2 linked regions of the Canis lupus familiaris genome follow. The protein of the gene in region 2 purifies or fractionates together with the protein of the main gene of each other region. This does not show direct contact. Links are inferred from orthologs where the notes say so. Each region holds a gene or a part of one and is shown on either strand. Other genes may lie near its edges.

Region 1 (5,290 bases), on a different chromosome or scaffold from region 2:
AGACAGAGGGGGTGCAGGGCATCAGCAGCAGGAAGGCAGCAGAGACAGGAAACAGAAGGCCAGTAATTGAGCCCATATGTTTCAACAAAGACATGCTTCTGGTAGTGAAACATTCTGCTGAAGAAAGAAGAGAGTGGCCAGCTCCCATGCCCCCTTCTCCGGAAGTTCAATCCCTTTATAATCTGATAGGTACACGCAATTGTGTGTACACAGCATGTACAACTGTGCTGAGATATCGAGCACACAGTACTTACTGAAAAGAAGCAGAAAGAGAGGGCAAGCTACCAGTAAAAGGAGCAAGGCCAGGAAAACATTTTGGGGGAAAAAAATGAAAGGTTTAGTAGAGGGTACAAAAACAGGCTGTAAGAATATTTGCCAGGCAGAAGAGTACATGTTACTGTAATACTAAAACCACTGGGGGAGATGAGACATAACACAGGAGCTGGCAGAGGGAGAAGGGCCAACCACGGAGCACTGGAATGTGCATCCAGGGGAGCCGAGTGAGGCCAAAGCGCAGCATCAGGCTCTTGGAGGTAAAAGGTTGCCCACAATCTTTTGCCAGAAGTTGAGCTCAGGTATGAGCTGTTGTCTTTGGACTCGAGATTCTAGGCAGAGAAGCCCTAGCCCTTGTCTGCTTCTCACCTGCATTCATGTCTATGAGTTGCTCTCTCTTCTGTTGCTTCTCGAGCCGCTCCTTCTCTGCCTTCTCCTTGGCTAGTTTCGCTCGCCGCATCTTTTCCTCTGTCTCCCGCCGCTTCTGGTTTTCCTTCACTGCTTGCTGTGGAGGGAAACACAACAAAACACGTGGGCGTGTATACACTTATACATACATGCACCCAATACCCACCCTGTGAACCCAACCAACGTGAAAAGTGAGAAATGTCCACAAAAGATTCCATCGGCAGGAGTCCCTGGCTCACCATAAACATATTCTTAAAGTTGTGTAGATCCATGAAGAATTCTTCCACAGTCACCTTCTTGGGGTCAAAGAGGAAGTACTCTCCCAGCTCCTTATAGAGGGTCTCCATGTTGCAGTGCATCATCCGCAGCTTGTTATACTGCTCCTGCGCGTCCTTCACAAAGCTGTGCGGCCAGGAAGTCAAGGCCCAGGGCTGGAAAGCAGACCCACTTCTCTAGCCCCGAGGAACCCTCAGAGATGCACACTGCCACACCCGAAGATATGCAGTACAGCAGTGTTTGTAAGAGCAAAAGCGAGAGGCAATCTAAATACCCTAAACAGGGGAATGGTCAACCATAAACCATGGTCCACCTACAGAAGAGGAGGTTTTGCATACCCTGCTGTGGAGCCAGGGCTAAGAAACAGTATGTGCAATAAGCAATCCAACACAGTTTTTGTTTAAAATAAACTCATGAGTTGAGAATCAGGAGCCCAGCCACAGAGGTTACCTTTGAAAGGGGAAAGAGAAGAGAATGTGTGTGTGTGTGTGTGTGTGTGTGTGTATGGTGGAGATGGGACAGAGAGTCAGGGATCAGCAAGGAATTTGAGTCTAGCTGCATGACGTCCTGACCACAACAGTGAGAATGCTTTCAAGAACTATATATTTAATGAAAAGAGGTTTTTTTTTTTTTTTTAATATATTTTTAAAGAAGGAAAAAAACTGTCTATCACCAGAACTATCCTGCTGTCCTCCCCCTAGGAAGCTTTCTTTCCCTGCCTAGGATGCAATTCCCTCCTTGTAAGAAAGGATATAGTCATTTTTTCAACAAACTTGTCTCTCTCATCTGTGGCAGCTGGGAAATTCTGAACATCACGTTCCACATCAGAAATTTGTTTCTTCATCTGATCTAGGTTCTTTTGCAAGTTTTCAGCAGAGACTAAAGGAAACACAAAAACAGAAAGCAAGAGTTTATTTCCAGTTCCAAGACGATCAGCATCTGCTCTTCCAGGCACAGCGTCAGTACACACAGAGCTGTACCTCATGACTTTAGCTCTGGCGTTCTCTCCTTTAGATGTTTCACACATTGCAGTTTTTATCTTTCCAGTTAAATCATACATAAATTACTTGATGACTGAAACCTACAGCCTCCACAAGAAGAGAGGCTTCATTTAATTTAATAAGAACCTGTGATCTTGGTCTCCTTTAGAGAGCAGAGTTTGGGAGGAAGGAGCTATACAGAGAAATACAGAAGGGCAGAAATCTGTTCCCGTTTCTACTAAATGCTGTTTTTTGTGTGCCTCGATCAGGATGGTAAGGCCTGATTTTTGTTAATCTAGTCCATGCTTTTTTTTTTTTTTTTTTTTAAATTCCATGCTTTCTGAATAAAAAGAACTGCTGATCTAGACTAAAAACACCTACCTTTCTTACAGTTCTTTTTTAGTGTTTGGTGTTTCCCTCAGAAGGGAAAAGTGTTTTCCAGTTCTATACATGAAGACCTCCCTTCTGCCTGATAATCCTCTCCTCTGTGGCTTTGACATCAGGCCTACACCTCTCCCATTCCCACCTAAAATAGGCAGAACTGAAAATTATCTAAGATCTAGACTGTGTCTTATTTCCATCCTAATGCAGAGATTTTGGGGGCCTGGAACAGCCTTCTAGTTTCGCCCCAACCTGCCCCACCTCGGCTGGCTTTCTCCACATGGGCAAGCTCATCTGGAAACTTCAGGACATCAGGATAGTCATTCTCACACAACTCAGCTAAGAAGTGCAACAATGTCATCTTCTGATCTGTGGACTTGGTGTCTCGAAGCTGGGGCGGGGTGGAGGGGAGAAGAGGAGTAACTTGTTAGTCTGGACATGCCCAAGACCTGAGGCCCATAGCAGTTTGCCACACTGTACTCATAGAGGCCAGCTGCCTTCCCTTCTGTTGTTCTGCTCTAACCACCTGGCTCACCTTACAGAGGAAGCTGATGTTGAAGCCAAAAGCACCAGCATTTCTGGAGCCAGCATTCATATAGTTTCCCACGAGCAAGGTGATCTCCAGAAGGCTAGAGAAGCTCTCACTCTTACGTAATTCCTCACATGCGGCAGTCACAGAAACAATCTCTGGCTTAATATTCTCCACTTGCTCACTAAACTGTAGCTTGAAGAGGATGGCATTGAGGCGAGGCTGCAGGCGGGGCACAGTGCCCATCTGGTGGGGAAGACAAACAGTTCCAGGATAGCCAGCAGGGAGAGGGCAGATCAAGAGAAACATACAGGCTTGAGTCTCGTATGGGAGGCTGGGAGTTCAGAGTACTGCGCAGAGAGAGACAAGTTCAAAACAGACAGGAGGGGAGGAACAAGTGCCCTGGCTGCTCCAGGAGAAGGAGCGGGCGACAGAGTCAGAGAAGAGCTTATTGCCACAGGCCTTACTCACCACCACACCAAACTGCTCTGACTCAGCTAGGTCATCATATTCATCTTTCAGTTCGGAAAGCATTTTTAACTGCTCTGGCTCTGGCATTTGCTTAATGAGGTTCTGAAAGAGAGAAGGGACTGTGTCATATGCCTTTGTGTCATGTGACAGCTTGAGCCTCTTGTCAGTCTCCCACTCTGCCCAAAGACCACAAAGAAGGAAATGGGGTAGGGGCTGGGGGGTTGGCTGAGAGGCAGCTAGTAAGATGGCAGGACTTTTGAAAAATAATACCAGAAATAACCCAACCACTGGAGAGATGGACGCTTACCCAAAGCCAGCATTCTGTAAAGCTACAGTCCTAGAGGACCTCACCCTCTAAACAGATGAGGCTTGTGTATTGTGACATCAAGAGCCAGCTCCTGCAGAACAATCTTGCTCCTTACCTGGATCATAGACTCAGTGAGAACACTCTCGTTCACCTCCAGGATGACATTCTTAATCTCTTGATAGGCCATGCGAAAGGAACCCAGAAAGATGGCTGCCGGAAAATGAGACACAAAGCCATATTCTTCTCTTTCTCCTCTCCCTTCCAGCCTATTCTACAAACCTCTGCTGGACTATATGCCTAAGAGTATTCATTTCAAGTCACTCTAGAAACCTCCACCAGCTCCCCACTGCCTGTGTAGTTAAAATCCAAGTTCTGGAGTCCGGTGTCTCAGATCCCCACCCTCCAGTTTCCTCTCTTATGAAACCCCACACGCCAGCTACACTGCTCCAAGCACCACATTCTACAAACACTGTGGCTCCTGGCCTTCGCTTACACAGGAAGATTTTGATCTTCTCTATCTAGACATATCCAAGATATTCATCCCACTCTATTTTCAGTTCCCCACTCCCATGACTCTATCCTCAAAGCTGCCACTGCCTTCAAATGCTCTGGTTCTTAAATTGCCATCTCTCGTTCCCCAACAAACACTTTCTGTTTCCCAGCTCTCTCACTCACTAGCCTCTACCAACGGCCCCTCAACCTCACCAAAGCAGCACTCGCTTTCTCTGGTGTGAGCGCCAATCGTTCCATTTTCTCCAAAGTTCTACTTTGCTTTCTCTATTCACCCAGAGCCTACAGTCTACAGCTTCGTCCCATCTCAGCCATTACTGACATTTCTATTACTACTATTCCCATTCTTGTTTCCTTCTCCTTCCAGTTCCTGGTCAGTCCAGCCATGTCACCTCTCTCCTTGCACCTGAGTTGATGAACCCTGCTGGCAAAGACTCTGTAGATCACGGTTCATCAATGTGGAGTGGCACCAATGATAGTGGAGGGCTCAGTGCTGCCTAGCAGTCCTTCTGTGCATCCCTGTTCTGTGCTAGGCCCTCCTGGAAGCTCCTCCAAAGTATCCTCATGTCCCACCACTTCCGATTAAAAAAAAAAAAATCTTGTTCCTCTTCACTGAAGAAAAAAACAAACTTGAAGCCACTGGTCAAATTACTTCCTAAGCATTCTTTTATGCACTGGGGGCTCTCAGCCAGAGCCAAGCCAGAAAAGGCTTGGGTAAGGACTATTTGGGATTATCCAGAAGAAAACTTGTGCCAACATTTATGTAAGCTTATCAGCAACTATACCCATGTACTCATCTTTTTCTTCTATTTCAATAGAACAGGTGGCCCTGAGGACCAGGGCCTTCAGCATATACACATAATCAAGTTTCTACTATCTTAAAAACAAAAAACCAAAGACCCTGACCTGATAATCCTCTCTAATTACCAACTTCTTTCCACCACTCTACAACGTTCTAAAAATACAAAAGTCTGGGTAGCCCGGGTAGCTCAGCAGTTTAGCACCACCTTCAGCTCAGGGCCTGATCCTGGAGACCCGGGATCGAGTCCCACGTGAGGATCCCTGCATGGAGCCTGCTTCTCCCTCTGCCTGTGTCTCTGCCTTTCTCTCTCTGTCTCTCATGAATAAATAAATAAAATCTTTAAAAAATAAATA
Region 2 (5,290 bases):
ATAATATTCCACTGTATGTATATGTACCACATTGTGTTTGTGTATTCATCAGTGTCCATTTGGATTTCTTGCCACTCTTGGCTCTTGTGAGGAATGAATGCATGGAAGTGTAAATATCTCTTTGGGATCCTGTTTTTAGTTCTTTGGAATATATACCCTAAAGTGGGATTGCTGGATCATATGATAGTTTTCAAGTTTTTGAGGAACTGCCATACTGTTTTAAATAGCAGCTTAAAAAAGTTTAACTTGTATATATATCCCTGAAGTAGTACGCTGGTTGAGTGTGTGTGTATAAGTGTGTGTGTGTGAATCATGGCTTATTATCTGTATTTTCTCCAATCATTTTTGGGGTTTTTATGTAGAGCAGTTAATGCACTTTACGGGTCTCATATTTATTATCTCTTCCCTTCTTTTTGTCATTATTTTCTATTGTTTAAATGCCATCCTTTTTTTGGGGGGGGGGGGCTTCTTTTAATTTCTACTAGAGGCTTAGAAACCAGATAACAAAGCAAACTGATTCAAATAAAATCATCACAGAAAGTCTCTTTAAGGAATGACCTGTGAGGACCTCCTGTTGAGTAAGATGTGAATGTTCTAGTGTGTGGATTTTGTGACCTCTCTCATAGCTTCTCTGTGGCCTGTTTTATATCATTCATGGTTCTTGGCTCTGTTCTATAATTGAATTCTAGAAGTCTGGACCAACAGGCTTTGATCACTCAGGGAATAACATATCCCCACTGAAGTTTCTGGGCTTATAACATATTGAGAATGAGTAATACCTTAAATACTCTTGGTAAATAGCAATGTATCTTTGGTGGTACTTGGTACTGAGTGCATTTGTATCTATGGCACCCCCTCTCATGGCTTTTTGTTCTGACCCCTTTTTGTTTACTTACACACTTCTTACAATCCTCAAACATGCATTCATCCTTTCCTCCCTCTCCTTCCAGTCTAGTTTCCCCTTGATTATCCTTTTACCATTGGATTTAAGCAGTGGCCACGGGGAAAGCCAAGAGAATTCCTGTGACATCATCCTTTCAGAGGGTGGCATTCCTCCATGGTCCCTCTTCCCACAGCATGCAAGGGCTGCAGGGAGAGGTTCCCGGCTCTCCCCAAGTCTCCGAGCATGTGGTAGTTAGAGTAGTAGCCACACACTGTTCTACCTGTAGAAGTGTTTTGGGCCTTTATTTGGTACCCCTTTTCACTCTTGAAGAAAGATTGTTTTGTTCTTTTTAAGATTTTATATGTTTATTTGAGAAAGAGAGAGGGAGAGCGCAAGTGGGAGGAGGAGCAGAGGGAGAGGCAGGAGCAGACTCCCCGCTGAACAGGGAGCCCCACGTGGGGCTTAATCCCAGGACTCTAGGATCTTGACCTGAGCCAAAGGCAGATGCTTCACAAACTGAGCCACCCAGGCACCCCTTGAAGATTGTTAATATTCTTTCTACATTTCACAGAATATTTTTATATGAGAATGAAAAAAATCACACCCTTATGATGTTATGTTTCAACAGGTTTAAAAATGTTATCTTTGAAATCAGTCCAACAGAAGAAGTTGGAGACTTTGAAGTGAAAGCCAAGTTCATGGGTGTTCAAATGGAGACATTTATGTTGCATTATCAGGTGGGTATGCACCATACAGAACTGAAAACTTTATATGTGATGTGGTTGTGTTCTTTTTGGGGTGGACAGTAGGTAAAAAAGACACATGTTTGGATCACCCTGCATTGAGCCAGCGCCCACACAGGCGGGAAAGGAGCTGAGGGCTGCTGTGCATCTGACTTGGTCTGTACTCCCTGGAGAGCTTGGGCAGATCTGGACGTCTTCTGAAAGCTTTTATCTGAAGCTACTACTTAGTGTTGGCACTAAATTGAACTGGTACCTTGACGTTGAACAAAATGTTTAAGTAATGATAGTAGAAAATTGTAAACCTATTCAATAGCTTGAAATCTTTTCTCATTTTGATTTGATTTTGGGGACTTAAAAGTGTATTTCTGACAAGATGTGTATAAATTGCATCTTTGTAAACTGAATCCCATTTTAAATTCGGGAAGAACTCTGCAGTGAATCATTTATAACATAATTTAACCTATTTTTTATTCCAAAATATTTCTAGTCTTTACGCAGTAGAAAAGCACCAGGGTACCACAAGGCCTCCTGGGCTCTGTCCAGGCTCCACAGCTCCGTGTGTGTCCTCATCACTTCTGTCCCATTCCTTGTACTGCATCTCACTGCTGTGCTCTGTGGGCCTGGGCAGGGGCCATCTCTGAACGTGTGCTGGGCTTCTGCACCTGCTGCCCACCCCCCAGCCCTCTCATTTATTCCTGCACACATGCCTGCCAGACCGTGAGCTCCTTAAGGACCCACGGTAGTGTGTCTTCATTTCCTCCTTAGTGATGAGTAGACCTTCAAACATGTTAGCTGAACAAAAGTGAAGTGATTCTGTGATGCACATGCTCAGGTGCTTACACCCAAAAAAAAAGATCCTGTCACGTCTTTAGTCTCACCAGCGTTGCACAGGCCGACCAGCCTGCCTCGGTAGCATGTTGATCCGTGCACAGGCGCATTAAATATAGAATGAGGATCAGGTGCAGGTGTTCTGTCAGGCACAGGTGACACACCAGGGCCTTCGTTCTCATGGAGCTGCTAGAATTTTTCCAGAAGTTGCATTGTTTGAACTTTGGGTTCTTTCAAGTGCCTTGACTCATTCTGTCTCTTCTGAAGTTCATGTGCAAGACTACTCACTTCCTAAATGTGCTCTGGACAGTAGAGGGCAATGGGAGAAGCAGGGGCTCTAGATCCAGATCCAGATCCACTCCATGCCACTCTGAATATCTCTGAGCCTCATCTTTAAACTCGGGATAATCACACCTATAGGACTTTTATCAGGACTTAAAAAGACACTATCTGATGTGCCTACCCAATGTTGAGCACACTGGAGGCACCTAATAAACATTTTGTCCTTCTTCCCCTTGCCTTCAAAATATAGAAATTTTCTCACGTGAAATAAAAAGTAAGACTCTAGTGGATACTATTGAGATGACGTTAGTGGCTGTATCCTGTCTTCAGTGATTAGTATATTTTATCATAGATTGAAATGCCTCCCCCTTCCCCAGGTGACCCATCACTTAGACAAACTGGAGACACGTTATTGTCAGCTCTGAAATAGGAAGTATGTGTGATGAGTGAACATGCTGCTTTTTCTTTCCATGTTTTGTGTATTTTGATATACAGATGTACCAGAATATTCTGTTGAGCAGCATGTCCCATTCCTTGAGTCTCAGGGTGGTTGTGCAGTGGACCGTTCTGTGGTTGGGCACCTCTTTTTCACACCACTTCACATTTGTCATTCCTTGTTCCTTCTGGATCCCTCCCTACATCATGTCCTTTCTTATTCCACAGACTTGTTTGACTGTAAAATGTTGTTTTTATAGGACCTGCTGCAGCTACAGTATGAAGGAGTCGCAGTCATGAAATTATTTAATAGAGCTAAAGTAAATGTCAACCTTCTGATCTTCCTCCTCAACAAAAAGTTCTACGGGAAGTAATTGATCCATTGCCACCAGACCAGAAGGATGAAGGAAAGAAGCTCCTCACGGTGACCTTTCTTGGGTCCTTCTTTACTCATTGGAAGCAAAGACCCAGGCCACAAAAAAGCCTCAACTTGATACACTCCCAACGCCACGTTTTTAACCCTCCCACTCTGATGGGATGTCTATTGCCCTTTCTTCATAGTGAAACTGTATTTCAGGCTGTCCGACCCTCTTGTCCCCTCATTTTCTTCCGTCACTTAGGAAAGAGTGGAGGCTCCACTAAAATCTCTGTTGTTATGGTCTTAGAGGCTGCATTACTCTATTGTAAGCTTTGGTGTTTAAATTAGCAACAGGGATGGTGGGGCTTGAATTCTTGTTACTTGGAAGTAGGATCTATCAACACGAATAACACATGCACATAAGGCACACAACTCACAAGTCAGGTCATCTCCTGGCATTCAGTTGTCATTTGAAGGTGAAATTCCTTTACGTTTCCATCCCATCGGTCAAATGGAAGGATCCAGGGGCTCATTGGTTCTCTTCCACTGTTTTCCTTTATAAGCAGGAGCTAACAGAAGTCAGTGCTCTGTGTTCAAAGAAACATTTCTAGCAAAGGGGAGACACAGTTTTAAAATGTTACCATTAGGGCAGCCCCCGTGGCGCAGTGGTTTGGCGCCGCCTGCAGCCTGGGGTGTGATCCTGAGACTCAGGATCGAGTCCCACATCGGGCTCCCTGCATGGAGCCTGCTTCTCCCTCTGTCTGTATCTCTGCCTCTCTCTCTCTCTCTCTCTCTCTCTCTCTCTCTCTCTCTGTCATGAATAAATAAATAAAATCTTTAAAAAAAAAAAATAAAATAAAAAAAAATAAAATGTTACCATTAGGGCAGCCCGGGTGGCTTAGCAGTTTAGCGGCACCTTTGGCCCAGCGCAGGATCCTCGAGACCCGGGATTGAGTCCCACGTCGGGCTTCCTGCATGGGGCCTGCTTCTCCCTCTGCCTGTGTCTCTGCCTCTCTCTGTCTCTCATGAATAGATAAATAAAATCTTTTTAAAAAATAAAATAAAATGTTACCATTAAAAAATAAATAAAATAAAATGTCACCATTAAATTTGAGCAGTACTGTTGGTGTAGTTCTCTCATCAGCGGGAGGGAGAGTCCCATCAATAAACCCAGCTATGTAGGCAGGTTTGCAGTGGTCTGCGGTGCCTGCTTGTATGTATTGATGCACAGAAGGGGGCTATGTTCAGGAAGGCAGTCCACTCTGTCCCCGTGGCAAAAGGAGGGGCCAGCCCTAGCATACGTAAAATGATTGTCCTCAAATCTGTTTTATGTTGTAAGAGTGCCTTATTAAAGTGTACATTTATTTCTTGAAATGTGGGTGATAGGAATTTTGAAGATTTATATAATGCTTTAAAAGCCTTTAGAATACTGTAAGAAAAGGATTTTTAAAAATTGGCTTATCTGTATATCTGAACTCTTAAAACTTTCTTATAGCTAAAACACTAGGATTTATCTGCAGAGTTTAGGGAGACAGTCCTGCCTTATATAGACCAAAACAAAAAACCAACCAACCGAGGTTAGCTTGGTATCAGGGTCTCTTTTTCCCCACTTCTTTCTTTTGTTGCTGCCCAGGCCATGCCTTTATTTTATGAGCTCCCATTTTCTGGGTTTAGTCAGAAACAATTCAATTCTAAACATTGAATTTAGGAAGCGTATGTTATTACATTAAAAAGTCATATACTTAAAAAAAAAGAAAAAAC

Evidence for each region.
Region 1: the proteins of IQGAP1 (region 2) and DIAPH1 purify together in Homo sapiens (affinity purification with western blotting; 3 studies listed by BioGRID and IntAct, with this or other methods). This does not show direct contact. The link is inferred for Canis lupus familiaris from reciprocal best matches to the Homo sapiens genes IQGAP1 and DIAPH1.

The regions. Positions count from the first base shown.
Region 1 is NC_049223.1:35,640,958-35,646,247, forward strand, and holds part of DIAPH1 (protein diaphanous homolog 1), read right to left. Parts: intron 3,836-5,290; coding exon 3,741-3,835; intron 3,421-3,740; coding exon 3,319-3,420; intron 3,094-3,318; coding exon 2,854-3,093; intron 2,710-2,853; coding exon 2,580-2,709; intron 1,837-2,579; coding exon 1,712-1,836; intron 1,086-1,711; coding exon 921-1,085; intron 779-920; coding exon 643-778; intron 1-642. UniProt on the Homo sapiens protein: Actin nucleation and elongation factor required for the assembly of F-actin structures, such as actin cables and stress fibers. Binds to the barbed end of the actin filament and slows down actin polymerization and depolymerization.
Region 2 is NC_049224.1:54,169,545-54,174,834, reverse strand, and holds the end of IQGAP1 (ras GTPase-activating-like protein IQGAP1), read left to right. Parts: intron 1-1,511; coding exon 1,512-1,620; intron 1,621-3,431; coding exon 3,432-3,545; 3' UTR 3,546-4,328; downstream 4,329-5,290. UniProt on the Homo sapiens protein: Plays a crucial role in regulating the dynamics and assembly of the actin cytoskeleton.